Nothobranchius furzeri: one gene and its partners. The protein of the gene in region 5 binds, or shares a complex with, the protein of the main gene of each other region. Links are inferred from orthologs where the notes say so. Each region holds a gene or a part of one and is shown on either strand. Other genes may lie near its edges. The genes, in order: stac3, cacnb2a, cacnb3a, cacnb1 and dihydropyridine-sensitive L-type skeletal muscle calcium channel subunit alpha-1.

Region 1 (5,474 bases), about 5.9 Mb from region 5:
AACGGTTAAATGTGGTCAACTAATTGCTAACAGAGCTAATAGGGCTGAAATATTGAAACAAATATTCAAATGGTTCGAAAAAAGTCCTTGAATCGTTTTTTACTGATTCAAACTAGGATTTGTTAAATGCTCACTGCAGCCTGTGGCCTGCCTGAAAAACAACAAACACATGTTGATCATGTTCACATAATAATAAATAAAACAACTCTACAAGCAGAAGAAAACACCCCAGTCACCACTAACTATCCTGTTTATTTATTGCAGATGGCTGCACTGATTATTTTACATGATTTGTTCTGTAAAAGTTGGCATTTTTGGTAGTCTACAGTTATTTTTATGACAGTTTAAATTACAATTTCAGAGGCAATTCTAAAATATTATGGATCATGAGATCTATTGGAGATCTACCCCAACTTTTGGACTGCTCTGCCAGTCACTGTGGCTCAAGCTGAGCGGAGCTTTTCAAAACTTGATCAAGTCATACCTGAGGTCAGCTATGTTTCAGGGGCGGCTCACTAACCTGGCTCTGATTAGTATCAATCACTCAGTAGGGGAGCAGATTTCATGTGATGACATTATTGATGACGTTGCATCAAGGTTAGGTTTTAATTTTAGTTTGTGTTTTCTGTTCTAAGTGCAATGCTGTAGTGATTATCTTTAGTTTGTTATGTGTGAAATATTTTTGCTATTTAGAATATTTATTATCTATTATGTTCATATATTCTTAATATTTAGTTATTGTTTGTTTTTGTATATTTGATTCTATATATTTTAATACAGTATATAATGTATAGTGCTTTACATTCTGACAACTTCATAGTAATTAATGTAAATATGTGCAACTTAGAAAAATGAATGTTCAATAGTCGCTCTAATAAACATGCCTGTTTGTAGAAAACATGCGTGTGTTCGTGCAGGTGGGGTGGTGGTGGTGGGGCGGTTGGGGGGGGGCTCAAAGGGGGCCTCGCCCGGGGAGTAATTCGATGTAGAACCGCCACTGGGTGGCAGTATCGATTAGCTGGTTTCTAACTGTGAAATACCAAGAAAAATAAATGTTTACCTTCAGTAGCAGTTTAGGGTTAAATTACAAACACCATAGCATTTATTACTTTTACACATTAAACGTTTTAGTTTTTAGTTCAATTATTTTAAAGGAAAAAAAAGTTATTCTGTCTTTTGTGCATTTTCCAGGTTTATATACTATTTCAAAATAAGGCAGCTTTTGCATCTAACATCTGTTTCTAATTAAGTCTAATAAGATTCTTTTTTAGAAGGCTGTCTTCAGCTGTACGGTTTTATTAAGACAGTTTTTAATTAAATTTGATTTCAACATCAGTGTTCAATCCACTCATGAATAAATAAACTCTAATGGGACAAAGTCACAAAAATACAAATAATGTTATCCAGCAAAAGAAATCATTACATTTAGTGTCATTTTTGCAGACTTGCCAGTTCTTTTTTATTTTTTTACTATTTTCTGCAAAACAGACAATTTCAATTTCTTTTACTTTTGCAAAACACAATTTTAATCCTTGTTGTTCATCCACTCCACATGAAATGTCTTTAAACATCAAACCTTGATTGTTGTAAGAAAAGATGCTTCGTGAATGTCGGAGCAGCTCCAGATTGTGAATGAATAAATTCTATTACAACGTTACAATTTTATTTAAAATATTAATAAAACTATTAAAAATCATCACCCTGTGTGTCAAAGGCAAAAAATTAATTTCACAGCAAAAACACAACAGGTAACTTATAATTTTTAGGTAACAAACATGAATCTTTTGACCAGGTGTGTCCAGGTGTCTGACCACTTAAAATGTGTTTCAGCCATTTATGTTGTTGCATATTTAGGTGTTTATGTCACAGTTATCTCCTCAAGCAGATCAGCAGGAAAGTAGCCCAGCTTGCGTCCTGTGCTGACCTTCAAATATCCTCCTTTCTCATCACCTTTTTTCACCACAATCTGGAAGAGAGTGACAGCAGAGCAGCATGACACCAGTGTTGATTTCAAACATCTGTAAGTGGAAGATGCATTTTGTTGCCTCATATGGAGAATTTTAGCATTTAGACAATTTTATTAGCATTTTTTAGCCTTGATTGGGTTCATTAAAGTCATTTCATTGGATGTCTTCAACAAAATACAGAAATAAGTTTAGTGGTACATTCTTCACCCAACTTGTCATTTAAAAGCAAAACAAATCCAACAAAACTGATTCGACGTGTGTTGTTGAGTATATTTAGAAGGTCACCTGATCTTTCTTGAGCGTAATTTGTCCCATTTCTCTGTTGCCAACAAAGGAGCGGGTCACCTTGTAGACTCTCTCTGATGCTCGTACTTTTATGAGGTAGTTGGCAGGGAAGTAGCCCGTCTTCTCCCCCATCTTTCCCTGATAATCCGACAGTTTGAGTTAATCTTCTGCCGGGACACGTATGGAATCAGCGTGTTTCCGTAACTCACCCTCCACCACTCTTCATTGGAGTCATCCAGCACTATGATCCGATCACCAGGGCTAATAAACAGACACATCATGTTTGTTTGAGACACATTCAAGACAAAGGCTTTGTTTTATGATGTCATTTCTATCCTTTAATCCTACTGGAAGTCAAGATCGTCTTTCTCGATTGCCTTGAAGCGGTAGAGAGCCAGGTAGTAGTGGGACCCGGTAAATGTTCCCTTACTCTGTTGACAAAAATGACAGATTATGGAGATTTTAAACAAAATGCATCCTTATGAAATGTTTGCTTTGACCTTCTCGTCTGCTTTGTCTCCTCCTTTTTCTTTCTTATCCTCGGGTTTTCCTGTGCGAACAGTCACCAAGTCCGTTCGTGAAACTTATTAACAGCCATCATTTTTCTTTGCAGAAAACTAATTTCATAGATTTATGCCTAATAGCAATTATTGTGTAATTTACCAAGGTACATTTTCTTACCTTCTCCTGCTTCCTCACTCTCTTTGGGCTGCTGGTTCTCCTCCTCTTCCTCTTCCATCATCATCATCATCTAAAGCACATATAAGTGAATAAATGTTGTGATTTATTGACAATATTCTGAAGTTACCTAAAGTCATTTTGAGCAGTGCATCTGCTTTAATCAATTATTTTTCAAATGTGTGCTTTCATACCTTTGTTGGGTTTGTTTTACACAATGATGTGTTTCTGAAATGTGTTTTATTGTGTTTTTATTGATGAAACTCATCGTAAATACTCACATTTTTCTTGTCATTTTCATTCTTTTTGCGCTCCTTGTTCGCCATGATGACACCAACTCTCAGTGTGTCAAAGACTGGGTCGTTTCGGTTTGGGTTGTCTGGTGTCGGATGGAAAATTTTGGCCAGAAAATATCAGCACTTTCAATTATAAAGCTTTATTTAATGAATAATCTGTAGAAAATGCTATAGTCCAGGCATTACAAACATTAGATTTTTTTATCTCAAATTTTTAGGGATGCACTGATACAAAAAATGGGCTAATATTAAATGGCTATTATTAGACCATGCTGAAGAATTTGATGTTTAATATGTACATGGCATGTAAAAGTTGTGTCATTAAAAGAGTGAAAATCAACTCATTATTTCTGATATTACATTTTAAAGGTGCACTATGTAAAAATATAGTGAAAAATCTACAGTGAGAAAATCCAAAAAGTGTTGGTCATTTTAGAAGGAAGGTTATATTTAAACACATTTCATATCCAGCTGGCTGTGAGGATTGTCAGTTCATCTCATTTCAAAACAAAGGAAAGATGGACGTAACTAGTGTTTACTACCAGTGAGTGTTGTCATGATCCGCCCCGGCCTCCCTGACTGTGTCTCTCCTGCCCTGATTAGCCTTATTGTTCTCACCTGTCCCTCATTACTCTGCCCATGTGTTCCTGATTCCCTTGTGTATTTATACCTCCCTCCTTGTTGCTGTCTTTGTCGGTTCATTGTCGTTTGTGCATGTTCGTTCGTCCTGTTGCTCCCAGTCTACGATTAAACATCTTTTAATTTTTTCATCCGTTGCCTGCTCATCTGCCTCCTGAAACCCACCACCCGCAGAACATGACAAGTGTGGGGTTGTTGTGTCTCCTGCGAGCTAATACTGCAGCGCCGATAGTTGTAATTTGACTACGGCCGGCAAAAAGCTCCAGAGTTGTTTAAAGTGATTGCAGCAACCAGATTTTACCACAGATTGTCATATTTACTTCATTTCTACATAATGCACCTTAAATGCCAACATTAGCTGTTAGTAACGGACATCCCTAAAATATAATTACACCTTTGTAAGGAAGATTTTTCAACATTGGGCACTTCTAACCATTATAAATTGTAGATTGCTCTCAATGATTGATTGATTGACTGATTGACATGATTAAAAATTCACTGCATGACCATCTCTCTCCAAGATACAACAATAGCAACTAGATGGAAGAAAGTATCAGCCAAGTTTTACTTATTGGACCGATACACAGATAAAAAACAAACATCAGCCGATATGATGTTGATGTCGATATTTCCGACCTCCCTACTAATTTTACACATCTGCTTAAAAGAATTCACCGTAAAATTTAATTATTTTACTCTGATTTAGCAGTAATAAATAAAGGATTACTAATTCTAGGAGTGATTGAAGGTTTGATGGACTCACTTGGATCTGGGATGTCGCTGCTGTACAGAGGAGAACTATAGGCTCTTCTAAAGCCAGGTGGCTACAAGACAAAGAAAAAAAAAGAAAAAATTTCAACTAAAACCTTCCATTTAGTCCTGTAGTGCTTTTTTAGACATTTAAATTCAAATGTGTGTGAGAGAGAGAAAACTCACGATTTTTCCAAAGCACTTCTGGAACTCGACATAGGACTGACACGAATGGTGGATGTTGGTCTTGCAGTTTTTACACCTCAGACAAAATTTGTTGTTCACTAAGAGATGTGCAAAGTTAACCGAATCATCATAAATCTCAAAATATGTCTCGTGATATTTTCTGGGTTAAACACGTACAGACTATCATGCGAGCGCAGACGTCACAGAACTTGGGTTTCTTGCAGTAATGGTCCTTAAACTTGTGAGGTTTGTCATTGATCCGAACAATGGGCTCGGAAGGAGGTTCTGGTTCCTTCTCCTCTACCTCCACCTCCTCCTCATAAATAAAATAGACCTGCAAGCAAAGACGAAGAAGAGAACAGTTCCATACAGGTGATCAGGACTTATTTATTAACTCATGAGATATAAACAAACACCATATTGCAGTCCCGTCCCAGCTGGAGGCTATTTTAATCAGCCTGAGAACGGCTGCTAATAGCGAGTGGTTGACGTGGTGCTGCCACTCACCGTGTCTCCTTCCTCCCTCACTACATTGTCAGGGGCTGGAGGATTGTCGTGGATGTCCACGGAGTTTTTGTCATCCTCTCTAAGAAGCACAAAGAGAAAGATGAAGACCAACTGAAGCCACCTGCCATGACTGTGGTGTAAAAACGTATCGCAGAGGGAACATCTG
Region 2 (6,866 bases), on a different chromosome or scaffold from region 5:
AGTCCCCCGACCCCCAATAAAGCAAAAAACTGCACATTCCAGGGTGGCCTTTTATTGTGGGCAGTATAAGGTACACATGTGCACTACTCATGATGTCAGATAAGCATCTTGATGTGGCACACCTGTGAGGTGGGATGGATTATCTCAGCAAAGCACAGGTGCTCACTATCACACATTTAGACTGATTTGTGAACAATGTTTGAGAGAAATGGTAATACTGTGTATCTGGAATGAATTTTAGATCTTTACGTCATCTCATGAAAAATCGGAGCAGAAACAAAGGTGTTGCGTTTATATTTTTGTTGAGTGTAAAAGCACCCCTTAAATTCAAAGAAACGTCTAATAAAAAAGCACCAGAATTACATATAGTACTTTCTAGAAGACTTTTTATGTTATTCTTGATGAAAACTTCAATGTAGGCCTACTTTAAGAGGCATTAGTAGCTATTTATAAGGCCACGTTTTTGAGAACTGATCTTATTTCCAAAGCATTGTTGTTCTGTGTTTTGTTGAGGTCTTACTGTGATCCAATATGAGGGCATTTCCACCCACCTGAGCTGCTTGTTCTCCTCATCTACCAACCTGGGTGACTAATGCTGGGTACTGTACAAGACAGAAACTCCGACCCACACAGTGCACGCGCTCTTTGGCTGTGGAAGTGGGCCTGCAGAAGGAGGCAGAAGAAGAGGCGAGAACGATGAACGCATCAGCACAATAAAACAAACTAAATCAACCTATTTAATTGGATTTGTGAAACTGACCATGTGAGTGGGCTTGAGAGGATTATTTAATCAGTTTGGTGTGATTGAAATCCGGTGCAGTCCACACGTTTGAACAAACAGCTGTCGAGCATCTACATTTGTGCTACAGGGATTAGTTTCATTGCACAGTGATTATGTTAATTTTCCCTTCTGCTCTTTGTCAAACTACAAAGTCAGTTTTATCAACAGCATTGCAGGATTATTTGTCACGTCTTAAAAAGCTGATACCATTTACTGCAACTTCCTGAGAAATGTTGAAACAATAGAAGGAAGTCCATCACATTTTCTCTTATTCTAGCGAATTTGCTGTTATTTTAGAAATACCAGCCCCATTGGCATTTCCAGGAAAGCACCAGACCACACTTGTTTGTGTGTAAATCTGCTCTTTGGCAGCATTAATGCCATTTTTTTTTTCTTTTACATGTGTGCATCTCTTCAAGGCAGCTGCTGTCAGGATGGAGGAAGGAAGGGCTTTCATCTGGGGCATGTTGATGTGTCCGCTGACTGCTCTGTCAAAATATGAGCTCAGCTTTGGGGGTCATCGAGGCAGCAGAAAAGAACAGGAAACATAAAAATATTTCCCGTTGGATCTAAGAGATGTCTATGCATGGCGATTCTTTTGCACCTGTTATCGTTGTCACACAAAACGACACTAGATCTATTGATTGTTTCCTATTGCAGATGTGCTCTTTTAAAGAGTCTGCAAATGTGTTTCTCTGCTGGTCTTTCTGCAGTGGTTTAATTTAGCTGCTGAAAACAACCACAAGCATCTGTGAGATGTTGAGACGAAACCGTGTTAGTCAGAGATGAACATTTAAAAATGATAAAACAAGAAATACGTGGATAATGTGGGGAAGAAAACTGCTAAACTGGGTATTGCACTTGCTATATACATTTAGTTTTTTTCTTTTTTATTGCATACATTTGAATAACTCTAAAATACAAACAGACTGATTTCTCACTGCCCTTTTTAGTTACATGCAAATTCACACACAGCCACCAGGGGGCAATGACGAACAGCAAAAAATATCAGCTAAACCAATTTCTGCATGTGTTTTATTTGTCAAACCAAGAAAAACAGCAAACATACTCTACTTACTTTGATGTAGGTTTGATGCAGCTGTATAGACAGGTTATAAATTAAAAGGGTCACACAGGTTATAGGCTAAAAACATAGACTCACGCTCTGATTCTTATAGGAATTTGTGAAATAATCTAAAATATTGCATTAATTGTCTGCAGAAACAGAAAAATACAAGAACAAATATTAGATATATTGTTCTTTGAACCGATAATTTACATGATCTAATTAAAGGGAAAACGCAACAGCAGCAGGTAGGAAAGCGCCGCTAACACTGGACGTAGAATCATAACCAAGGTGTTGTGGTCACATTTGTAACCTGTTAATTCAGTAGCAGCAGAAACACGATCAGTGAATCCTAAGGATGCATCGGTCCAGTCAGGTGAGCTGGAAGAGAGCAGGTGGAGGAATATAAATATCACACAACCACAAGAACCTTCAAAGTTTTAAAATTGTGCATGAGAATGGTTGCAGCTGGGTCGGATGGGTAAAGGTTGTGTGTGATATTTAAGAGAAAACATAATTTCTAACTGATGAAAGCAACAAGGATCACCAAGATTAGATTGTTTTCCCTTTTCTTTCACCTTGGAAGTGGATGAAGTTGTACAAAAACGTTTACACTAATAATAAGTTTATGCTTTTCAACTAATTTAACCACTGGTAGGTTCTTCAAGCAATCATTCTTGTTTATTAGATTTTATGCGATCCAGTTTACTCTTTAGGGCCAAATTCTTTTTCTTCTGAGTCCAGTTGCTGTATTTATTGTAGACAGGAGAAAAAGAAGTCTACGGTGACCTGAGTGACCCTACAGGTGAAACTAAAATGCAAAAGTCCATTTATGTCAGTAAGTCACCTTAGACTGAGACACCATCTAAAGGAACCATTTGCAGGTGTTTGGATATATTAGCTGATTAAAGTGTGACACTTAAAAGTGGGGTTTTCATGTTCTGTAATCCATAATAATCTAATTTATAACAAATCAATACTTAAAATATTTGTCTTTGCATGGAATGAGTCTACCTCATATATAAGTTTCACCTTTTAGGTTGTATCACTGACAAAGATGAAGTTTTGCATCATTTTCAAAATGTTTGAGTTTCATCTTAAATGCCTATTCTGAACAGGCCCCTCCCATTGATGGTGTACCACCTTAAGTACAAACTATCAAATAAACAAAGTCTTATCCTATATTTCCACTTGTCAGTTGGATGACTTGCACTTTTCCTTTTTTGTTCATCCTTCACCTGGACGCTGCAACTCATCCCATCCTTTGATCAGGTGAGGAGGCAGAGGAGTTGGAGAAGAGGAGCAGCGGGTCTCAGTCCGTGTGGGAAGGGCTGATCTGATGAGCAGGCTTTCAGATGCTGAAGGCTTTTCATTTGGAAAACAAACACCAAACATCTCGATGCCCGCTGGGTTGTAGCGGCGCCTTGTGTCCGTTTCCGTTCTCCTCGACGGCGTCACCATGAGTTTTGTTTTTTATTTCAGCCAGAACTCAGCTTCTTCCTCCAGCGAAGCGGTCCTGGTGAACGCGTTTGTTCGCGTTCCCTAATGGTCGTCAACAACAGTCCGACAACTAAAGCAGGAGCAGCTCCGGACCGACTCATGGAGAGCGCAGAACACCTGGTGTTACAGGTGAGTTCGTCTCAGTTTGGTTCAGTCACGGATGTTCATATTAACCGTGATTCTGTCCCAAAAAGTATTACTCATTCGTCTCGTAATTCAGGGGGGAAAAAACAACTATTATGACTTTTAATCCCAGAACTTTGACCTCCGAATTTAAGCGTTATAAGAATTCTGACTTTTGATATCAGAGTTATAACTTTGATGCCCAAATTCTGATTTTTAAGAGCAGAATTATGAGTTTAACGCCTGAAATTAGAGTCCGACTGATAGTTTTCCCATTGCTGATCCCAATTTGTAGGAGACATGGTCGGCCGATGGTCATGTGTGCTGCCGGTTTTTATGGGCCGATATCTAAATGTTTTTCACCTTTTTTAATGCAAAAATGTCACTAAAAACATCAGTTAAAGAAAGCACATTTTTACTCTGAATTTCACTAACTGTAAAATCTTAACTTTAAAGTTAAAGTCAGACATTTAAATAAAGGTGATTTAGAGTATTTATTATAGCGCCTTCCTAGGGTTCTACAACCCCCCAAGGCGCTTCACAACACAATCAGTCATTCACCCATCCACACACTGGTCAGCTACAATGTAGCCACTGCTGCCCTGGTGCTGCCGAGCATTGGCGCCACCGGTCCCTCTGACCACCACCAGCCAACAAGTCGGGTAAAGTGTCTTGCCCAAGGACACAACAGCAGCATTCTCTGGTGGAAACTGGGATTGAACAACCTTCTGATTACTGGGCAACTCGCTCAACCTACAGAGCTACTGCTGCCCAGATGTTATTAGTGAACATGAAATTACATTTAAATGAAATTCTGCAACAGTTGGACAATGTTTTATAGAGCAACAACAAATAAGGATTTAGGTAGAGAGATCTCAATCAAGTTTTTTTACTCCGATTCCAAGAAATTTGATTTAGAGCGTCTGCTGATACTGAGTCCTGATCCAATACTTTTCAGAAAAGCATTAAAATAAAATAAAGAAAGAAAAAGTTGTCCTTTACATTTCACTTTCACTTGTTTAGGAAGTTAATTGATTAAAAACATGTTAACATCATGAAATAAAAATTTAAACCAAACCATTTTTGTTCCGTTTGAATATCTCTTGTTTCAGGATGAAATTAGAAAGTTATATTTGTTGTTTTATAAGATATAATCTGATCTTTTTCACCCAATTCTAAACTTCTTAAAATCTCATGATCTGGCCCAATTTCCGATCACGTGATCAGATCGGACCATCCCTATATTTAGCGTTTTCTAGGCATTTTAGCACGTGAGTTAGGTCAATGTTTCTGTTTCATCAGGGGTGTGTTGTGACTCATTGGGGGATAACTTTAAAGAGACAATGTGTTTTTACCATTCATTTCTGGAAATATCCATCAAATTGTTGTTGAAAATGAATGAAATGATGCCCAGTTGTTGAAAAATATTGACGGCTTTGTAACATATAACCATAAAAATACTTGGGAGTGGGTCTATGTCTCTGGGCGACACCATATTAGATGCCATGCTTCCTTCTACAGGAGCCCATGAGGACAAAATGCATTTACTGATTTGTAACAAACGGTTACAAAACGTTTGTCCTTCTTAAATGTTGTTTTCAGTGATGAAAGGGAGTCTGATGCACTTGTTATTTTGCGAAAATTTGCACTCCCCAGGGCTTTTTGACCCTAACCCCGGGTTTCCACGGGAGCCGTCAGCAGCACGTTACTGCAGCAGCACGTCTTGCTCGCGTAAGCTGGTGCTTGGCCCTTCCCACGAGGCGCGAAGCAGCAGGGGAGCAGCTGTCACCTACAGAGCACGAAGTCACACGAGTGACTTCATCAGTAAACACAACAACAAGCAGGAGAAAACTACAACATGGTTTGTGTTTTATGTTCTGTCCGTTTTATAATCGCCAATACGGACCTGAAAAACAAAGGAGACCGCTAGCTAGGTGATAACTTCTCACGGGGACGCACAGTTAGTAACCTTTTTTAAAAGTAAAGCAACCGGAAGGCAGTACGTTCTTTATTCTGAAAATCTCTGTAGCTTCTCTCCATTTCCGCGTCCGATTTCCTGTCTTTCCTTCCCCAAAAATGTCGAACTTGACCCGTTTCAGAGGCGTCGCGCGTAGAAAATAGAACCGGCGCGTAAAGGCCGCGACATGCTGCTCCTGAGACGCGGCCGACTCGCGCTGCTGACGGCTGCCGACGGCTCCAGTGGAAAAGGTTCTGTTGACCACAGCGGTTCCTATCAGCAGCTATGACGTGCTGCTGCAGTAACGTGCTGCTGACGGCTCCCGTGGAAAGCCGGGGTAATGGGCATCCGTTGGTGAGGTCTTACTCCAACACAAAAATACTGCTTGTTTGCAACGATTTAGGTATCTACAGCCCCCTATCACCAGGAAAAACGCACACTGTCACTTCGACAGATATTATTTTATACACTTCTCCATGTAATGCATTTTTATTTTCTTGTCTGATTTTGATTACCTTCATTAAAATTTATATTTTGAATAACAAACAGCTAATTCAACAGATTAATTTGGCCAAACGATGTGTTCGTAGCAAAAAAATCATAGTTTTCACAGACTGTTTGAGCTTTGTAATGAGTATTTGCAATATGTGCATTTAGCATTAAATGTGTGTATTTGTTTATGTCTGGCTCCATTATAACAATGATTGACATGACCAGCCTTTGTTTTGTATTCATGTTTAACACGTCCTGGGGCTTTGGGCTGGAATAAAATACCAACATGTATTTCTACTTTACAGTTGCTATTGACAACAAATGCTGGATGAGTTCTTGTATATTAGGCATCTCATTTTATGGCAAAGTAGACCACCCACATAATTACTATGACCAGGCGATACCAGAATTATTTAACATTGATTATGAAACCCTTAACTACTGAAATAACCATGAGATTGATGTTTGGTAAATTACTCCTACATCCTATCAGAATAAAGAACATTTATGTTTTGCAAAGTAGGATTTTTAAGTTCAGTCTGAAAAATAATAGCACTTCCCACATAGAAGAAGCAACTTTAAAAGCTAGAATGAAGACAAGCTTGTCAAAAACGCTGCAGTTAAGTTTTTTTCTGTTCTTTATTTTTTGTTCTGAAGTCTCAAAGCAAAGGAAACCAGAGGAAAAGTCGCTTTAAAGGTTCTGATGGCAGCACGTCCTCCGATACCACAACCAACAGCCTTGTTCACCAGGTAAGGCAGACAAAAGTTTAACTTAAACCTTATTTCATGTTTTCATTTAGAATAAGGTGGGGACTTGTGTTTAATATTCTTCCATCCCAGGGGCAATGTTTATTGGCCTCAAGCAAGAAGGCAAAAGGCAGGTGGTGATGTTTTTCTTGTGTTTGCATGAGACCCGACCATTGTTTTCTTGTGCATTTTTTATTTAT
Region 3 (6,646 bases), about 28 Mb from region 5:
TTATCTTTGTATGCACGGTCCTTCTGTAGCTCAGTGAAACCTTCACAGACTCCTCACAACCCGGTTTGACGAGAATCGGCTCTCCCCTTTAGGAAGCCCAAAACCACAAATCAGCTGGGCTTTACACCGACACTTGAATCAAATGAACGGTTTCTCTAAAGAAACAAACAACCAGTGCACTGTTATAAAATATATTCCTATTAAATCAGTAGGTTTAAAGTGATTATGTACATTTTCCCTGGCAATAGGGGGCAGTACATACCTACAAGCAAGCAATGTTTTTGTGTTCAAGTAAGAATTTACCAATGGATGGCCATTAGGGTCAAACATCCCTGGAGCCCAACCTCCAGCTAAATGACACACACGCCAGACTCCCTTTCATCACTGGCAACGACTGAAGAAGTAAATGTGTAAAACGTTTATGAATGGTGAAAGTTTTCTAATCGTTTGTTACAAATCAGTAAATGTATTTTTTATATTTTACTTTGTTTTCATTTTACAGCAAAACGTGTGCAGATGGGGGCATTTATTTGCATCCGTTGCAGTATAATGATCGGTTCACCAGGGACAAGGGCACGCCACTGGGCAGCCGTGGTCAAATGAGGTAAGTCTGTTCTATTTAATGATTTTCTTTCAACAAGGAAGGACAGTGTCCTCGTAAGCAAAGCGCCTTGACATTGAGAAATACCTTAAATAGACCCACTCCCATTTATTTTAGACTTGATTTTTATGCTTATATGTTACATCCTGGCCATGGAACTATGGACCAGCTCTTTATCCTTGCTAGGGTGATGGAGGGGTCATGGAAGTTTGTCCAACCAATCCACATGTGTTTTGTGGATTTGGAAAAGGCTCATGACCGTGTCCCCAGAGGCCCCCTGTGGGGGGGCACTAAGGAGTGAGGGGTGGATGGTCTTTTGTTATGGGCCATTCAGTCCCTGTACCAGAGGAGTGTGAGTTTGGTCCGCATAGCCGGCAGTAAGTGGGACCTGTTCCCAGTGAGGGTTTGACTTCGCTAGGGCTGCCCTTTGTCACCAGTCCTGTTCACAATCTTTATAGACAGGATTTCTGGGTGCAGCCGTGGTGCAGAGGGTGTCGAGTTTGGTGGCAGGAGAATCTCATCAATCCTTTTTGCGGATGATGTGGTCCTCCTAGCTTCATCATGCTCCGACTTTCAGCTCTCGCTGGGGAAGTTCACAGCCAAGTGTGAAGCGGCTGGGATGAGGATCAGCACCTCCAAGTCTGAGACCATGGTTCTCAATCGGAAAAGGGTGGTTTGCCAACTCCCGGTCGGGAGAGAGGTCCTCCGTCAAATGGAGGAGTTTGAGTATCTCGGGGTCTGGTTCACGAGTGAGGGAAGGAGCGAGCGGGAGATCGACAGGCGGATTGGGGCAGCATCTGCAGTGATACGGGCGCTAAACTGATCTGTCGTGGTGAAGAGGGAACTGAGCTAGAAAGCAAGGATCTCAATTTACTAGTTGATCTACGTCCCAATCCTCACCTATGATCATGAGCTTTGGGTGATGATCGAAAGAACAAGATCGCGGGTACAAGCAGCCAAAATGAGTTTTCTTCGCTGGGTGGCCAGGTTCAGCCTTAGAGATAGAGTGAGGGACTCGGACATCCAGGAGGGACTCGGAGTACAGCCAATGCTCCTCCGCATCGAAAGGAGCCAGTTTAGGTGGTTTGAGCATCTGGTCAGGATGCCTCCTGGACGCCTCTCTCAGGAGGTGTTTTGGGCATGCCCTGCTGGCAGGAGGCCCCCGGGTTGACCCAGGACTACCTGGAGGAAATGCATCTCTAGGTTGGCCAGGGAATGTCTGGGTGTCCCAGCTGAGGAGCTGGCAGACGTGGCTGGGGAGAGGATTAGCCTGGGAGGCCGTACTTGGGATGCTGCCCCCGCGACCCAGATAAGTGGAGGGGGGGAAGGTGAGTATGTTTAAATTGGGCATCAATAAATTCATTTTCAACAACATTTTGATGGATATTTCCAGAGACTAATGGTAAAAACTACACATTGTCATTTTAAATGAGGTAATGTTATAATTAGCAGCCATTAAAACCACCAGAATGGAAGGTTTTGTTATATTTTCAGTCTCAGAAATTCTCTTAAATAACACAAAATCTTCACAAGTCTCCCACATGTCTGACCTGAAAACATTCATTAAAACTGGGCTGTGATGGGATGTAACATATTGCTGCTTTACAGCATTTTGCTGTCCTCTACTGGGTAAAACAACTCCTGCAACACAGGAAGCAATGCTGTGCAGTGATGAGGAAGAACAGGAATGATCAGATCAGAGACATGTTTGGTGACTCATTTTTGTAAAACTACAAGTTCTGCAAAATGCTATGACAAAACACCAAAGGAAAACATGTTCTGATGAAGTGCTTGGTCCCACTCTCACACAGCATGACCTACATTTTCTATAGAAACGTTATTCCTCCCACTAAGGTTTACCATCCGTGTGTCGCTGGCAGCAACTAGCATTGAACAAAGAGGAGCGCTTACCTGCCGCTTGATGAAGCTGGATGTGGTGTCAGATGATGTGCTGCCGTCAGAGCGTTTGAAGCGGCTTTTACGTTTAGGCAACTTCCTGGGCAGCTGTGTGGAAAAGACATGCAGATGTTGAAAGGAAAAAGTCAAAGAAGAGGACGTTCTGTTCTGCTCACAAGTCTGACCTGAAAACGTTAATTAAAAACTGGGCTGTGGTGGGATTTACTGCTTTAGCATCTGTGCAATTGCTGCAGCTCCTAATTGTTTTATTTGTGAGTAGCGTTTGTAATTTTAACCAGCTGAAATAGACCTGAGCGTATGGGCACTGTTTTACCCCAAAGTCTTGTAAATGTCAAGTTTACCTAAAATAGAGCAGACCTCCCTTTTGAATACGTTAAATAACCAATATGGAACTCCACTACATCTATGCAGCCAAATCCATATTCATTTCATTTATTCAGGAAATCTTTTGAGATCATAATCTCTTTTTCAAAGGTGACTGGTGCAAGCTGGCACCCCAATAAAAGTTAAAAGCTCAGATTTCTAAATTTACCAGAATTAATAAAAGAAGTTCGGTTTTAGTCCTTAGTTATACACAGTAGAGTCTAAAAAGAGCATTGCACTCCTCCAATTTCCTGTCTAATAGCAAAAATACTAACAAATTATATATATATAACAACTGACACTCTCTGGAACAAGTACTTCTTGTAATCGGTCTATAAAAAGATAGATTTGCACAAATAACACACATCTGAGCTCTGCAGCATGGTTTGAGCTACACAGAAGCACCTCGCTGATTCCAGGCCCCAACAGGTGAGCCGCAACCACAGACATAAGGCTACAGCAGGTTTGTCGTTTTAACACCGAGGGAAAAAGCCGTCCGTCCGTCCGTGCTGCTGCCTGCTTCTCTGCGTTGATGTAGACGAGACGAGGCAGGAAATCATGCTGAAATAAATAATAAAGCATCACTGCCACAGGCCCGATCTGAGAGTCGGGACCGAATGGGCAGATTTGGGGAGATCTGCGGAGGTGTCAGCCTGTTTCTCTGCGGGTGTGACATGTTGGAGCCTGCCGTGCGGGCTCACAAGCTGCGGTTTCACTGAGGTTACAAAGGGGGGAGAGGAGAAGTACGTGTCCCCCACAACAAGTAGCGTTAGAGATGTCAGCTAGTCGTTTCTAAAGACTTCAGCCGGTCGGGGAAGCGTTGGGAGAAAAGTGAGCGGATTTACCTGAAAGTAATGCGACTGGGAGCCCGTTTCCACAGCAGACAAAGGGTCTACGGAAGATTTGGACATTTTGACTTGCATCATCTATCGACAGCGCAGGGAGGCGGCGGGAGGAACACGGACATGCGTTCCTGGAAGGAGCGAGAACGGGAAACAAGCACATAAATGCATGCAGTCCAACTGAAAACAGGTGTGGGGGAGCGGGAATAATATCCAGAGCGAGTAGAGTAAAGACGAGAGAACGGTTTCGGATAAAAAGGAGGAAATGAATCGTGAGAGGAGGACCCACGGGTGGCTGGAGCTAGATAATGTTCACACACCGAATAGTGTATCCCACTGCCTCCTGCATGCTGATGGCTCCTGCTTAGCACACAAGCACAGAGCAGTAAAATAGAAGGAATGAGTTCACGACTTACGTAGTTTGTATAATTTGACTTGCGTAGTTTGAATAATTGAAGGCGTTTCTGTTATTTAATTATAACTATGCTGTCAACGCTGATTAAAAGCAGTAGTCATTTTAAGTGTGATGTTTTATTTTGAAAATTATGACAGGAAGTACTGATGAGTTATGTCTTATTTAACTTAATGAATGTTTGTAGTAACCGCTTATGTCCACCAGATGGCAGAAAAATCCCTACCGTCGAAAGTTAAGGGACTGATTTCCTGTTTCCATCCAGTTAAAAATATAAATGTCATACTGACAGAGTGTGGCTATAAATGAAATAAAAAGTACATATTACAAGTGATTAAATTAAATGTTCACTTAGACATAAAACATATGAACCAGAACCACATTTCTACTCTGATTCTGGTTGTTATAATTGCATTTGGTTTTCTTTTACTTATTTCACCGTCATTGTGAAATCCAAAAATATGAATGTTTTTTTCCTGTTTACAACAAAAATATTTACTTATTTAAATCTCTCTCTCTCTCTCTCTCTCTCTCTCTCTCTCTCTCTCTCTCTCTCTCTCTCTCTCTCCCTCTGTGTGTGTGCTTATTGAAGCTGGGTAATTATTTGTCTTGAAATAATAAATGATGAATGAAATATTCTGATTATACGTTTCAATTTTGAACATTTGCCCACCTAAAGATAAGGATAAAAAACAACAAAATAAAATTGAAAAATACACATAATAATAATAATAATAATAATAATAATAATAATAACAATAACAATAATATAATATTAATAATAATAGGAAGAAGAAGAAGGAGAAGAAGAAGAAGAAGAATGCCTAGAAAATCCTGAAGAAATTTTAAAAAGGGACCTGCCACAAGATAGTGTATAAGTTAAACATAACTCTTGAGAGGCCCTGCCATGTTATTAATTAATAATGTGCGTAATTTATATTTATGCTAATTTTAAGCAAATGGAGAGGAAGAATAATAATAAAGAGAACAAATCCTCCATAAGGGCCCCTGCTTGCAGCAGCTACCAACAACAACAACAATAATGATAATAATAATAATGATAATGTTAATCCTTCTTATCATGGTGGAGGAGTTTGAGTGTCCTAATGATCCTAGGAGCTTTGTTGTTTGGTAGGGTCTCCCATGGCAAACTGGTCCTAGGGCAAGGGTGAGACGAAAAGTGGTTCTGAAGACCTTTCATGAACACTACATCAGAGAGTTTGAGTACCCGACTCGGAGGGTTACCGGGGTCCCACCCTGGAGCCAGGATTGGGGTTGGGGCCCATGGGCGAGTTCCTGGTGGTCGGGCTTTTGGCCATGGGGACCGGCCGGGCCAGCCCGAACTGCAAACATGGGCTCATCCAACTGTGGACCCATCACCTGCAGGAGGCACATGAAGTGTCTGGTGCATAGTAGATAGGGTGGCAGACCCAGGCAGGAGATTTGGCGGTCTGATCCCCAGACAAGAAAACTGGCTATTGGGACATGGAATGTGACCTCTCTGGCGGGAAAGGAGCTGGAGCTTGTGGATGAGGTTGAGCAGTACCGGCTAGATATAATTGGACTCACCTTGACACATAGCTATCTGCTCTGAAACCCGAGTCCTTGAGAGGGGTTGGACTCTCTTCTTTGCTAGAGTTGATCCAGGTGAGAGGCGGAGGGCTGGGGTGGGATTTTTATTAGCCCCAAGACTCACTGCCTGTATGTTGGGATTTACCCCTGGGGATGAGAGGGTAGCTTCCCTGCTCCTTTGGGTGGGGGAACGGGTCCTGACTGTTGTTTGTGCTTATGCACCAAATAGCAGTTCAGAGTGCCTACCCTTTTTGGAGTCCCTGGGATGAGTGTTAGATGGTGCTCCGACTGGGGACTCCACTGTCCTGCTGGGGGACTTCAACGCTCACGTGGGCAATCTCTGGTGCAGAAGTTACTGAGGTAGTCAAACAACTACACAGCAGTGGAGCCCCAGGGGTGGATGAGATTCGGCCTGGGTATCACATGACTTTGGATGTTGTAGGACTGTCATAGTCTCTGCAGTTCTTGTGGAGTGGCAGACTGGGGTGGTGATCCCCATTTTTACGAAGGGTGGCCAGAGGGTGTGTTCCAACCATAGGGGGATCACACTTCTCAGTCTCACTGGAAATGTCTGCTCTAAAGTACTGGAGAGAAGGGTCTGGTCGGTCGGATGAGCAATATGGTTTTCATCCTGGTCGTGGAATTGTGGACCAGCTCTTTTGATGGAGGGGTCGTGGGAGTTTGCCCAACCAATCCACATGTGTTTTGTGGATTTGGAAAAGGCTTGTGACCGTGTCCCCAGAAGCACTCTGTGGGGGTGGGGGTGCTATAGGCATATGGAGTGGATGGTCTTTTTTAAGGACCATTCATTCCCTGTACCAGAAGAGCAAGAGTTTGGTCCGCATGGCCGCCAGTAAATCAGACCTGTTCCCGGTGAGGGTTGGACTCCTCCAGGGCTACCCTTTGTCACCGGTCTTGTTCATAATCTTAATGGACAGG
Region 4 (6,835 bases), on a different chromosome or scaffold from region 5:
CTAGGCCGAGGATACCCTCGTCGGCTGAGTGAGCTGCGGTCAGAGCGTTGGCCGTTGAAATGATGAAACAGTGCTCCCATATGTAAAATCCTTCCTAGTTATAACTCTAGTTCAGCTCAGCATGATTTAGAAGACATCTTCAGGGTCACGGCTCCCAGAGCTGAATTAAATAAATGGACTACACTAGGCAGGCTGCATTTTTTGAGTGTGAACTTATTGTTTGTTATGCTATTTGAACATTAATAAAATTATTTGAAAAATAATTAATAAAACCAGCAACACTTACCAAGGAAACCATTTAGCATGCTCCACTCCGGGATAATCTTCAACCTTCCAGCATCACAGGGCCTCAGTCACAGCAGAAACACGTCTAAAGAAATGTTCCTTGGTTGAGCTTCGGTTTATGTCTCCAGATTTCCTCTGTGATGCAGAGAAATATCCAATATTTTGAGAGGGATGGTTTAGTGCAAAGTACTCACGCATCCTGTCATCAGTTTGGTACCACTGCAGGATCAGATGAAGCTTGTTAACACCCTTTCTGGGTCTAGAGGCTCCTGCTGCAAAACTACATTGGGCTCACTTCTGGCTGGCTGCTGTTCTTCCAGTTCGTCCTTCTGTGACGGCGTTAGCGCAACAGCGTCTTACGCCGCATTTCCCGCCACATCTTCGGGTCGTGTCTCCTCCGGGTCTGGCTCGGGCCCGGCCTTTGGCTCTGCTGACCTATCGCAGGTTCACAGCTGTCGGCCGGCTGCCCGAGCAGCTCGACAGAAACTTCTGTAAAGCTCCCCGCTGTCTCGTCTTTTGTTCCTCTTCATTTTTTTTCTTTTTACATTTTGACGCACCTGAAAGCATCGTGAAAGTTAGCCTACTCAAAAACTCCTGCTAGCTTTGTTGTGTCCCGCTCTGACTCTGACCGCTTCACCGACGCCCTTAATTAGGTGGCGCCCAAGTTGTAAGCTACAGTCATGGGCTGGCGTTAATGTGACGTAGCTAATGTAACGGTCTATGTTCAAGATAAACATTGTCACTATTTTTAGTTAATTAAAAAATATTGAAATAAACTGTAGATATGAGTCCTATCTACAAATTCTATCATAGGACATTTGTACATTTTATTTTTGATTTATTTATTTTTAATTTTGTCCCTCTGTCTGGGCCCCATCCAGCCAATCAGGCCCTAGGCACGTGCCTACTTTGCCTTTGCGTTAATCCGGCTCTGACGGCTCCACCATTATTTATGACTGTTCTTTGTGGCCAAACGGCAGGAAATGCCTTTTATGCTTATGTATGTATGTATATATACATATATATATATATATATATATATATATATATATATATATATATATATATATATATATATATATATTCTAGCTATTATTAGGAAAAGTGAATATACAGATTAGTACAGTTCTGCTCAGTTTAATGTGAAAGGAAACTAAATTAAAGTTCAGCATGAATTCTGTTACCTTAAAATATTTTACGCAATTATTGTTCTCAAACTGAATCATTTTTAAAAATTAAAAATGGGAAAACACAAAATTCATGAAAGGTAAAGCTGAAATGAATCTTTACACGTGTTTGTCTCTGGTGTGACGTCAACACTCCTACTCTGGGGTCAACCTTAGGTCACAAATGGAGCAGGGTCTCTGGGTAGTCTCACTCAGCCTCTTCAGACTCTGATCCAGGAGAAAACTAAGGACAGGCTGAGATGGTTCCTTCTGTTTTACAGGCAGCCCCGCGGGACTCTGGGGAGGTCTGAACACCTCCAGCCTGTCATGGAGCTCTGCTGCGGTCTCATCACTCATCACCGTAAAGGTGGGGTCTCTTCACTGGGGCGTGGACCTCGGCTTCCAGCTGGAGGCTGATGAGCGCACACAGGAACAGAGAGGGCGTCAAGAGGGATGAAAAACACAAGCACGGCAGTAGTTGGAGGATGTTGCCTTCAAAATAAAAGCACACTCTGCTTCTCAAGGTGCTTGTTTGGATCTGGATTTTCAGTCTCAAATGTCTCTTTGGGTAGCTCGTTATTAACATTCATTCACCCTCATTGTAATTCTGTCCATGATGCTGTGTAATAAGTTTTATTCGATTTCCACGTATTAAAGATTGATAAACATGGCAAAAAACAAACAAAAAAAACATGCAGGGCAACTGGGAACACTGTGGTTTGAATTTTGGTGTAGAATTTTCATCATTGTAATAATAATAATAATAATAATAATAATAATAATAATAATAATAATAATAATAATAATAATAATAATAATAATAATTATTATTATTATTATTATTATTATTATTATATTAAAAACTCTTATTCTGTAACCGGAAACGCTCTTGCGTCGGTGCGGAGCCCTCCCAGCCTGTCGGTACTTGGTGACAGTAGCTGAAGGCTGGAGGAAGGCAGCTGTTGCCATTATTTAACCAACCAGCTCAGAAACATCAGCGGCTTTTCCTCCTTCCCTAGACGAGAAATAAAAAGATAAAGTAAGTAAAATAAAAAAGATGCGACTATCAGCACCGTCATAAATTAACAAGACTGAAAGAGATTCCTCGAAACTGAAATCAAATGGTACAGAAAAGTAATAGTATGTCCAGGACGCCTTCGACCCCCAACCAGGAGATCCCCATGGGCATGATCGACCACCATCCACAGGTAAGAACCACAGAGACATGTCACCTATCGCCTCTTTTCACTGTTTACACGTTGATGATGCTCCATTCCGGAGATTAACAGGTTGTTCTTCGGTCTGCTGCTTGTGCGCGCGCGTTACAGCTGCGCTTTTATTTTCTAATAGAGAAATGGGGTTTGTTGTTTTATAGTCGATCATTTTGTACGTAGGAAACAGCAAGTCTGTTGGCGCTTTAAGCACAAATGAAACGCCTGTTGTCTAACACAAATTAACCGGAATGTACCACGTAGACGTCCAACGAGTTGTTGATCTGAGTAAATGATTAAAATCCTTTAGGCTACACATCTGATCGGCATGGTAAGCATTTAGGGAATTACTGTAATCTGCAACTGTTTAAAGATAATTAATGAGGATTCTTGTCTGTATGTTTTACTGAAGCATGCACTAAACTTAACTAGCCAAAATAAATAATAAACAGGAGGTGTATTAATAAAAATGTGAGTAATAATAATAATGATGAAGATAGTAAAAGAAACACTTAACTGAGAAAGTAAAACTGCTGAAAAAGTGGGCAAAATTTATATTAAAACTAATTTGGATATATATATATATATATATATATATATATATATATACACACACATATGTATATATATATGTATATATGTATATATATGTTATGTATATATACATATATATATATATATATATATATATATATATATATATATATATATATATATATATATATATATACACACATATATATATGTGTATATGTGGGCGACGGTGGCACAGGAGTTAAGTGCTCGCCCCGCAATCGGAAGGTTGCAGGTTTGAGCCCCGCTCAGTCTGTCGCTGTCATTGTGTCCTTGGGCAAGACACTTAACCCACCTTGCCTGCTGGTGGTGGTCGGAGAGACCGGTGGCGCCAGTGCTCGGCAGCCTCGCCTCTGTCAGTGCGCCCCAGGGCAGCTGTGGCTACATTGTAGCTCATCCCCACCAGTGTGTGAATGTGTGTGTGAATGGGTGAATGACTGATTGCGTTGGAAAGCGCCTTGGGGGGTTCCAGGACTCTAGAAGGCGCTATATCAAATACAGGCCATTTACCATTTACCATATATATATATATATATATATATATACGTGTGTATATATACATATATATATGTATATATATGTATATATATGTATATGTATATATATATATATATATGTATATATATGTATGTATATATATATATATACATATATATATATATATATATATATATATATATATATGTATATGTATATATACACACGTATATATATATATATATATATATATATATATATATATATATATATATATATATATATATATGTATGTATGTATGTATGTATATATTATAGCCCAGTTTGCCCATTAAAGTATACACCAAATCATCCTGTTTTTTCTATTTTTATTTGCCATGCTTTAATGACACTGGTCTGTTGAAAGGTTCATTGAAGCGCTGATGGTTTGGTTGTTAAACAGTGGGCATGTTTAGTCATGACTCTTTAAAGTGATGTTTTTTAAATTAAGATGAAAATATCTAGAACAAACACACCCACACTGAGATCAGTCATTGTGTCTCTAGAGAAGAAAAACCAGCTCATCACAGACAACCAGCGTTTTAAACCATGCCAAGTCCTGCTCTCTCCTCTTTACTCCCACTCTTCCCAGCTCCCTCTCATCCCTCAGCTTCTTCCACATCTTCTGTGAGTGTCCCGCTCACTCTCGCCATCTCACCTCTTCATGTCTGCTTTTAGAAATCAGATCTTTTATCAGCTGAGAGGGAGCAGTGAGAAACAGATGGACGACCTCCTGGTGCAGGCAGCGTGGCTTTCTGAGTGTTTTTATGTGTGTATGACACCTCCCATCAGTCACACAGCTCTCATGTTGACGTGCAAAAAGTTACACTGTTTTTATGCATTTATAACTACGACAAACAGAGAAAATAAAACTAGAACATCTGGAAAGAGATGATGTGAGAAATAGAAATGACTTGTGGGTGGAGAACTTGCTTGAATTCAGAACTGGGCGTGTCTCAGATTAAAGATCCTGTCTGCTGACCGCAATCAGATTGCAGGTGAATCTCTGAGCAGAATGACAGAGGATTCTCCTGTAAAAGCAGAAAAATTCCTTGTCAGTGTTTTACCACCTCATCATGCAGCCTCTTTAATTATGCACTTATCTGAGAGGATGTTTACCAACAGGAAGCCTCCACACCCTTTCTCCGCCCTTTCCTGACAGGAATCAGAGATCCTTCCTTAAGGCTGATTCATACTGACATTGCTCCAGCATGTCGGATCTGTTGGATCGCCATGATGTGGCGTCGTATGGGCGATCCAACAGTGTTGGGTCGTGTTGGAATGTCGGTTGGAGTCGAGCTCTATTTTCTAAACATCGGACAGCGGCGTTGTATGCATGGGCGTCTGTTATTGGTCAGCCAAACAACCCAACGTCATTTCCGGCACGACGTAGCTTACCTTAAAAAATGTAAACAGCACGAGTGTTTACACAGTCCTGAAGACTCGTTCTCGCTGTGCTCTTTCTAATAATAGTTGTTGTGTCACGCTGTGAGTTGGGGGAGGTTAGGACCCAAGATGCAGACACAGGATGACACAAGGCAGGAGTAGTGAAAACGTAAAAAATCCTTTATTTAGGGGTAAATTCAAAGGGCTGGAAGCCAAAAACCAAAAATCCAAAAAAACCAAGAGTCAAAACCCTGGGAACATCCAAAAACACAAGAGACCTAGAGAACGTCAAAATACCTAGAGAGGGGATGAGCAAACGCTGACACAAACAATGGACCAACAACCACACTGAAGGTTATATCAAGGGCTAGGTGAGTAGGGAATTGTGCACAGGTGAGACCAATAAACAAAGGAAGAGCACAACGAAGCAGGGGAGGAAACCAGACCTAAAAATGGGGAAGGGCGCAAAATGAACTAGAGGGAGAAAACAGACTAGATAAAACACTTAACAGAAGACTAATGATAAAAGGTGTCTAAGGAAAAACGTAAGGGAAACCTAGAGAGCCTGGAGGGGGTTGGGGAGACACCGGGACGCTGAAACCTGGGGGGAACACCTAAGGGGAAAAAACCTGGAGTGGTCTGGGGAACACAAGGAGGCACATGAGGAGGGATGCAGACAAGGAGACACATGAGGGAGACGCAGGACGCAGACCATAACATGTTGTTCTTCTAGCTCAAGCAGCTCCTGCTTCGCTCTGTGTCGCCCATCTTTTCGCGTCGCAAATAGTAAATACCGTAAATCCTCTAATATTAGCCTGTATTTAATTAACTGCTGGGTATCATATTTTGGTCGGAGTCGGCGGAGGTGAATAATGGCCGTGTTTTTATTGTGGCCGGGTGGAATGTGGAAACAAGCAAGTACGGGGGCGGCTGTGTTATCCGTTTCACTTTTGATTTGCCAGTGATAGACCGCGAGGGTAACTTTAACCGTGCGGAGACGAAGAGGAGGCGAAAATTTAATATCAAGTTCAAAGAGAACGTGCTGATTATGCTGCAGAACACTCTGGGGAGCAGTAGCAGGGGTTGTATGAACTAGTCACTAGTCGACTTCACCGCTCTATAGTGACTTTTTATGCCTGTCATCGACTAGTCGCTGTCACGTGATAATGACCGGCAAGATGCAGTCCACGGAAAAGACAGCAGCCTGCTGTCAGCAGGTGACAAGCTCCTGCGCGTCGGGAGGCAACGCGCTGTACCAGAGCGTCGGTACTGAGACCCGCCGTAAAACGGACATTTAACCAAATTGTGACGTTTACCCTCTTGCAATTTAACCTTCCCCTCACCCCCATCCTAACCTTAACCAGCTTGCGCATGCAATGCTCTGATTGTTGACGCGCTCCACACATCTGCGTCCTGAGCACGGCCACAGTAACATTATCAAATCAGGTGTCACCACCTCAAAAACTAATTTAACACGCGATCATTCATGTCGGCTCATTTCCTTTGATGTTTTCTGTCTTTTATTCTTTTACTTGTGTCTGATGCGTTTCGCTGCTGCGGACCGGGGCGCATCACCTGTTTTGTCCTCGGTGACGCACCGATCACTGATGTGGCCGGGAGCACTCCGCTGCTTTTGCGGTCGGTAGATCTTTTAGAACTGCAGTTCAAAGGTAACTCATGAGGTGAATATATATGAAC
Region 5 (6,688 bases):
TAACAGTATGACTGAGGTAACACGAGAAAAGGTTGGTGTACTTTGTCTTGGCTGACCTACTTCTGACAGCAACATGAGGGTGAACCATCTCTCCTTACAGTTTTCACCTCGGAGGAACGAAAGTAAGAAGCAGAAACATTTTGGCAGGAGGGAGGAGAGCGAGCCGAAGCAAATTTGTTTAAAAACACGGTCAAATTCAAACAGTTTATGTTTTTCTCTGTAAATTGAATGTGTGTTAATCTGACACAAAGGTTCGTAGAGTTTAGCAATGTGCAAATCTCAAAAATACACAATTTTTCAGGGACAGATTTCCCTCTTTGGCAGAAGTCGTTTAAGAAATTTGTAGAGATTTTGATGACTTATCTTTTTCTCAGCAGCTTCTTTGGATCTGCTGAATATGTTTAGTTTAGTTTCCTGTGAGGGAACTTCACCACTTGATAAGATTTAATCGTTAGGTGCTCAAAAATGGCTCTGAACAAGACTTTGTCTAATCAACAATAGAGTCAAGTCAAAGTTTATTTCACTATCTAAAACCACCTCAAAGTGCAATTTTAAATAATAAATACTGGACGTCTGTGGCCGCATTCCATTAATCTGTGTTCAAGCTTGTTTAATGTTTCTGGAGTGAAGCAGCCACAAACCATGATACAACCTCTGTCGTGCTTTTTTCTTCATTGTTTGGTGCTTTATTTTATTTGCTGTTTCGAAAAGTTTCGAACTGGAAAACCTGATTAGACGCAACTTGGAAAGAGACGAGTGCTTTAAAATATGCAGCAGATGATTGGCTAAAGCATTTGTCAGTCAGTTGCTAAGTTTGTTTTGTGGTCAGAATTAAAACTTGACTTCAGGTTTCAGTAATACTGATGATTGGACCACAATTTTATATTTTCACTCTAAGTTACACCGTAGAGCAAAATCTCATAATCTTGAGTGTAAATCTTACAATAATCCATATTAGCCTTGGGTTCATCTATTAGTCCTGCTGGTTTTAAAGAGTTTTCTGTTGGTGGTGATGCTCATGTTTACATCAACAACCTCTAGTCCTTTAATAGGCCGAGTCTTTCTATCCTGGGATTATAACCGCTTCTGGACTGACTTGCTTTGATGAAAATATAATCTGATTTGGAAAGGATTTCAAGGATTTTTTAATATTTCTAAAACATTTCTGATGCTCTAATAACTCAGCATTCTCTCACATTGAGATGAAAAAAACCACAAGGTTGTTATAACTCCTTTAAGTCATCAAAAACACCAAAATCTGAATCCAAGTCGTCTAAAATGTAATTATTAAACATACAAGTCTTGGATTTTTTTCCTGATTTTGTTTCTTCTTCATTTATTCTGTCCAAAAAGGCCAAAGCAATTCAATATTTTATCATTAAGACTGCTTTTGCTAATTGAACTAATGGGTGTCACAGAGACTAAGCAGGTTTTTATTTGCAGGATTTACCTCAGATTTATTTTCTGACATTTAACACACCACCCACCACTCCGTCGCAGTGAAAACACACACCTAAGATGCTGAAAGACAATTCTTTGGACACACATCAGCAGAAACACGTCTTTGAAATGAGAGACTAAACCACCTACTGCCTTGTTGTGCTTTAGGATTTAGGGCAGAAAACAAAGCAAGTACATCTTAAATTAATGCAGTGAACTTTTCCATTCACGTGTTCATTGGCTGTCCCTCTGCAGACACAGATGGGACTCCAAATAAAGAACTGAGTTGTATTTAGAGGCCTTTAAATGGGGCTGAAGGGCAGCTGCAGCCCTTAGCCACTGCAGGTTCAAAGCCAAAACCTTCACGATGGATGTTTCTACAAAACCAGCCACTGGAAAACAAATGAAAGCGTTTCTATGTGTACATCAGCCTACCAATCTGGAGTTGGTGTTGTTGCTGTCTTCTTCGGGCATGGGCAGGAACACAGCCAGAGCAATACAGTTAGCAAAGATGGTCAATAAAATAATGATCTCAAATGTTCTGGGTGGGGGAGTTAAGGATGATGAAGCGGAGAATCTATATGATAATAACCAGCTCATACACACGCTGACAGAGGGACGGGTGAGTGTTTTTGATGTAGACAAGGTGTGTTTTGCACGTTTTAACCAAACATAAAGTAGACCAGCAGCTCTGATCACTGGCTTTAAATCCTGCCTGAAACACCATCCCTAAAGCAGCTCGTCGGGCGGCCGGCGTTGCTGCTGCAGCTCCTGTAATCCTGTCTGCTGTGCTGCCCCATTCTCATCCATAGGGGGCTCTCTGAGAAAATTCCCCTGCCAGGTCAGCATTATGTCTGTGTGATGCTGCGGGACAGCTGCGAGGCCCAAGAATATGACAAACCGTTTAAACACGGACGGCTCATCAGAGGAAAGAAATCCCTGGTTATGTTAGCAGATGTTGGTTTTATTCACACGTCTATTTCTACTGAAAAAATTTAGAGCAGCTGATCAGTTTCTATTACTCAGTTCGTGAATGGTTGCTGCTTTTACAGCATCCAGACCATAATGATTAACATGGTAATGCAACACATTTGGCAACAAACAATAAACTGTAATTTTTGGTGATTTAATAAGAGAAATGTTTTGAAATGATTGAGATCTAATAAAGATTTCCTATTTAAAGGGTTATTTTTAGATTTTGTGTAACTGATTGATTTAAAATGGTGGGAAAATTATGCTTTATGGAGCTAGGACTGGGACAAAATTACGTGTAACTTGTACCAAGTTTTGTGACTTGTAACATGTTTGAACTTGGAACACCTTCTTTTTGTTACTTGCAGAAAAAGAAAATCACAATTCTCAAAACACACATCTCAGTCTACAGTCACAAAACATTTTGTCCCAATTCTAGCTTCCTTCCCCAAAGAACCAATGAAAAGCTTTGTCTTATCAGTCAATCATGTGTCTCGGATATTCTGCTCTAATTGAAAATGTAAGTTCATTATTTACATCAGTTTAATTTCTCTAAAAATGACTGCCACCTACTGTTAAAGAGTGACAATGTAAGTTTGGTTGTGAGCCGTACAACAGACCTCTGCCCTTTTTGCCATGATTGGACAGGAATCTAAAACCTGGGGCACACTGAAGACAGACACGCCGCGCAGCGGTTTTGGGAAATCAAATTGTCACACAGGAAGCGCCGCCGAGCGCTTCTCGGAAAGTCAATAATCACAACATCATGCGGGACTTGAGAAAGTGACTCTTTTGTTTTTACATGCTCAGACTTGTCGTGTTGTCAGACTCTACGTACGCTATTTATTAGAATATTTTAAGATCAATAGTACTTTAAAGTTATCAAAACTGTGGCTGGCTTTGTGCCGTAAAGCCGTTCAGCGTCTTATCTGTTGTAAAGTACTCCACAATATTGTAAACAGCCACGCCACGGAAGCACCACAGCGCATGAAATAGAACTGGTGCCTATCTTCAGTGCCTCGGCGTTGCGCTCCCCGTGTAGTAATTCTCAGTAACTATAATGGCTTCTACTTAAAATGGCGGCGCGGTGCATCTGTCTCCGGTGTGCCCCAGACCTAAGATTGGCTGGTCAGACAAGGCTTGTTATTGGTTTTTTGGGAAAGGAAACTAGAATTGGGACAAAATATTTTGTAACACGTAGATTTAAGTTTTGTAACTGTAAACCTTTAGTTTTTTTATTTTGAGTTATTTGAAACTTGTACATAGATTTTTTAACAAGTTACAAAATGAAAGTTTCATGTTACGTACCAAAGATTAAATGTTATAAAATTAGAATTATGTGTTACAAAATAAAAGCTATGTGTTGCAAAACGTTATTTACATGCTACAAAGCAAAAGGTGCTGTTACAAAACATGTTACAAGTTACATGAAATTTTGTCCCAATCCTTGCTCCATAGTACATCTGATCATGTTCTCTCTGTTCTACAATCTTCATATGTTCCTTATTATTTATGACATTTTTGCTACGAATCAAAAGTGTTTGAACACTTAAACCACTTCTCTGATGACATCAGATTTAAATAATGTTTGATCACAGCTGCTGTTTTCACCCACGGGTCCCAATAAAGTGTAAAAGGTGTGATTTTGAAAGGATACTTCCACTCCACGATGTTGGTGCACGCCTTGCGGAAAGGATTTTTTAGTGAGAAGAGGAAGAGAGTTCTGGCAGGGCGAGGATTGCCCCCCGTGGCCTGCAGCTTCTTCAGCTTCTCCCTCTGCTTCCTCTTCAGTTCCTCCTCGTTCATGATGAACGACTTGTTTCCCTCTGCGTTGGCTGCCATCCTGATTCCTTCACTTTACACAAACTTTAAATTCCAGAAAATACGTTTCCTCTTGATGTAAAATCCCAAACTCTCTGATGCAGCATGTAACTTCCTTTAGTGGCGCCCCCAGGGCTCCAGATCAGCCTCTCTTGTGTTGGTCTTCCTCCTGCTGCCCTCTTCTCTGGCTCCCTCTCTCTCCCCTGGCTGAGGGCCTCTGACAGAAAAAAGCTCACCCCAGCAGAGAAAAATAACAGAAGCTCAGGGAAGCTGGAAGAAGAGAGCAGTTGGCCTTGCAGCAGTTTAAATTTAGATTGTGAACCACTGGCAGGCCATGCTTGGGGATGGTTTAGAGGGCAGAGTGGAAGGAGGGGCAGCAGAGAGCAGAAAAAACAAGGGGATTAGGGGGATCATCCTGCAGCAGCAAACCAAATCTAAAGTGTAAACAATGTGGCTCTTTTGGAAAATATTCTCCTGGGAGCAAGATTTGAATTCCACACTTATTGAAGTGTTTGCATGAAGGATATTTTGTTAAATGAGAAACTTTGATGATAAATCTGGCTTTCACATGCATACATTTGCACACATGAATTATTAAATATAAGCATTCAATATGTTCTCATGCTGTAATTATCAGTAGATGATGCACGTTTGGTGCAGCAAAACAGTAAAAGGGACCTCCTTCCTTTTAATAACGTAGGAAGGATGTTTATTAATTACTTTATTTAATTAGCTACATAATTCTGGGAAACAAAAAATGTTCATTAATTCACATAAAAATATTTTTACTTGTATTAGTTTTATGCAAACCACACACGTTGGATGACATCTGCTCTCTGACATGTTAGTGGTAACGTCATCGTGGCGTTTATTTTAATGGCGGTGTACTCTGTCGCCCCCTGGTGGCAGATAAAATAATTGCTTGTACTAAAGATGAAGTCTCCAAACATCTGAAAGAATGAATACACGTTTTTTTTTCTTACATTTATTTAAACACTTAGCCCAAGCCTGAGCTTTGTTGAGTCAGGCTAAAGATAAATATGCAGCCTGAGGAAAATAAAACTAAACATGACCACATCCTGGAACTGATTCTGTTTTATTTCATCTCTTGGGGGAATAGATTTTTATTCTTCCATTAAACATTCCATCATGTGATCTTATAATGATTGAGAGCGGCCGTGCGACACATCGGTAGAATTTTTTCCTCATCTAAAAAGGTTTCGGTAACTCTAAATATTTTACATCAAATTAAGAAACAAAACAAAGACAAAAATAAACTCCATTAGGAGTAAAAACTGAAACTTCAGATGCAGAATTTCATGCAAAAGACCACAGATTGTGATGGTTTGATAAAATACATTTTTGCATCAAAGAGCTGGAAAAATGGACAATCAGTTTCAAAGAAGCAACAGAAATTTAACCTACCCAAAAAATAACGATCCTTAGTGCAAACAATGAAAAAGTCTGAGTTTAAAAACAATAAATTACAACTAAACTAACATCTGTAGAATCCTGTGAGCAAGCTGATCTGTAGAAACAACTTCTTCTTTAATCATGCAACACTTTTTTATATATATTTACAAATATTTTAAAAAGGATGACAACCCTAAAATAATTTAAATCTGAAGCAGCAGCATTGACATTCCTAGAAGCGACTGAGAAAATGTACTAATGGCGTGTGCAAAAGATGTTTACGCTCCACTCAGCTGGCTTAGCTTACAGTAGTTACCTTATAAATTATAAGACAATGAATTAGACGAACATGTGAAATGTTTTAAAGTGAGGAAACAGCAATGCAGTCAAAGCGGTGCTGATCAGTGACAACCAGGTGTGTGATAACTCAGCTGGTGACCGTGTGACAGCACAGAACTGGGAAGGTTGCATCCTTTAACCCTTAAAGCCTTCAACAGAGCTCTAACTTAGCAACTTGTGCCGGTCGAAAACAGTCTTGCGCTGTTCCTGCACCTGCTTCTTCCAGCGCTGCTGTGCCCCTTCAACTCGCTCCAGAACTGTGTTTCCTCTGGCCGACCCGCTTTCTGCACGAGGACGCATCTCCTAAACACACACATAAAAACTGTTTCAATCCACAGCTTTGTAAAAACTGGAATGTACCAGATGCTCGAAATGTGCCGTTTCTTTGGTTGGTCACCTCGGAGTCTTCCTCGTTGTGCAGAGGCTGAGTGTACGGGTCGTGCTTGCGGATCAGTGGATCCACCAGGAGCAGAAACAGCATGTAGAGGAGCAGTGCACCCACAACAGACAGGTAAATGATGATGGTTACCTGAAACATTTAACATAAAGAACAAATAACGTTTAGGATACTGGGCTAAAACAGAAACAACCAAACTCAGAGACAGTCAGCTGTACCTTAATGGTGTTGCTGCTCCGCTCCTCATATTTACATTCACATAACAAACAGTACGCTTCCACATCATGACCAGGAACTGGCATGGGC

What was found.
Region 1: dihydropyridine-sensitive L-type skeletal muscle calcium channel subunit alpha-1 (region 5) and stac3 share a complex: the UniProt entries of both Homo sapiens proteins name them as parts of the calcium channel complex. The link is inferred for Nothobranchius furzeri from reciprocal best matches to the Homo sapiens genes CACNA1S and STAC3.
Region 2: dihydropyridine-sensitive L-type skeletal muscle calcium channel subunit alpha-1 (region 5) and cacnb2a share a complex: the UniProt entries of both Homo sapiens proteins name them as parts of the calcium channel complex. The link is inferred for Nothobranchius furzeri from reciprocal best matches to the Homo sapiens genes CACNA1S and CACNB2.
Region 3: dihydropyridine-sensitive L-type skeletal muscle calcium channel subunit alpha-1 (region 5) and cacnb3a share a complex: the UniProt entries of both Homo sapiens proteins name them as parts of the calcium channel complex. The link is inferred for Nothobranchius furzeri from reciprocal best matches to the Homo sapiens genes CACNA1S and CACNB3.
Region 4: dihydropyridine-sensitive L-type skeletal muscle calcium channel subunit alpha-1 (region 5) and cacnb1 share a complex: the UniProt entries of both Homo sapiens proteins name them as parts of the calcium channel complex. The link is inferred for Nothobranchius furzeri from reciprocal best matches to the Homo sapiens genes CACNA1S and CACNB1.

The regions. Positions count from the first base shown.
Region 1 is NC_091755.1:32,737,389-32,742,862, reverse strand, and holds the end of stac3 (SH3 and cysteine-rich domain-containing protein 3), read right to left. Parts: intron 5,388-5,474; coding exon 5,309-5,387; intron 5,136-5,308; coding exon 4,979-5,135; intron 4,900-4,978; coding exon 4,802-4,899; intron 4,690-4,801; coding exon 4,629-4,689; intron 3,310-4,628; coding exon 3,212-3,309; intron 3,004-3,211; coding exon 2,934-3,003; intron 2,803-2,933; coding exon 2,753-2,802; intron 2,684-2,752; coding exon 2,601-2,683; intron 2,514-2,600; coding exon 2,462-2,513; intron 2,391-2,461; coding exon 2,253-2,390; intron 1,967-2,252; coding exon 1,859-1,966; 3' UTR 1,432-1,858; downstream 1-1,431. UniProt on the Homo sapiens protein: Required for normal excitation-contraction coupling in skeletal muscle and for normal muscle contraction in response to membrane depolarization. Required for normal Ca(2+) release from the sarcplasmic reticulum, which ultimately leads to muscle contraction.
Region 2 is NC_091747.1:46,809,539-46,816,404, forward strand, and holds the start of cacnb2a (voltage-dependent L-type calcium channel subunit beta-2a), read left to right. Parts: upstream 1-2,773; 5' UTR 2,774-3,392; coding exon 3,393-3,476; intron 3,477-6,576; coding exon 6,577-6,669; intron 6,670-6,866. UniProt on the Homo sapiens protein: Beta subunit of voltage-dependent calcium channels which contributes to the function of the calcium channel by increasing peak calcium current. Plays a role in shifting voltage dependencies of activation and inactivation of the channel.
Region 3 is NC_091755.1:54,935,769-54,942,414, forward strand, and holds the start of cacnb3a (voltage-dependent L-type calcium channel subunit beta-3a), read right to left. Parts: upstream 3,947-6,646; 5' UTR 3,808-3,946; coding exon 3,727-3,807; intron 2,606-3,726; coding exon 2,513-2,605; intron 1-2,512. UniProt on the Homo sapiens protein: Regulatory subunit of the voltage-gated calcium channel that gives rise to L-type calcium currents. Increases CACNA1B peak calcium current and shifts the voltage dependencies of channel activation and inactivation.
Region 4 is NC_091745.1:12,110,203-12,117,037, reverse strand, and holds the start of cacnb1 (voltage-dependent L-type calcium channel subunit beta-1), read left to right. Parts: upstream 1-2,436; 5' UTR 2,437-2,572; coding exon 2,573-2,659; intron 2,660-6,835. UniProt on the Homo sapiens protein: Regulatory subunit of L-type calcium channels. Regulates the activity of L-type calcium channels that contain CACNA1A as pore-forming subunit.
Region 5 is NC_091755.1:26,878,030-26,884,717, reverse strand, and holds the start of dihydropyridine-sensitive L-type skeletal muscle calcium channel subunit alpha-1, read right to left. Parts: upstream 4,480-6,688; 5' UTR 4,255-4,479; coding exon 4,070-4,254; intron 1,982-4,069; coding exon 1,876-1,981; intron 1-1,875. Other genes in the region: proton-transporting V-type ATPase complex assembly regulator TMEM9, read right to left, coding at 6,148-6,288, 6,383-6,514, 6,601-6,688. UniProt on the Homo sapiens protein: Pore-forming, alpha-1S subunit of the voltage-gated calcium channel that gives rise to L-type calcium currents in skeletal muscle.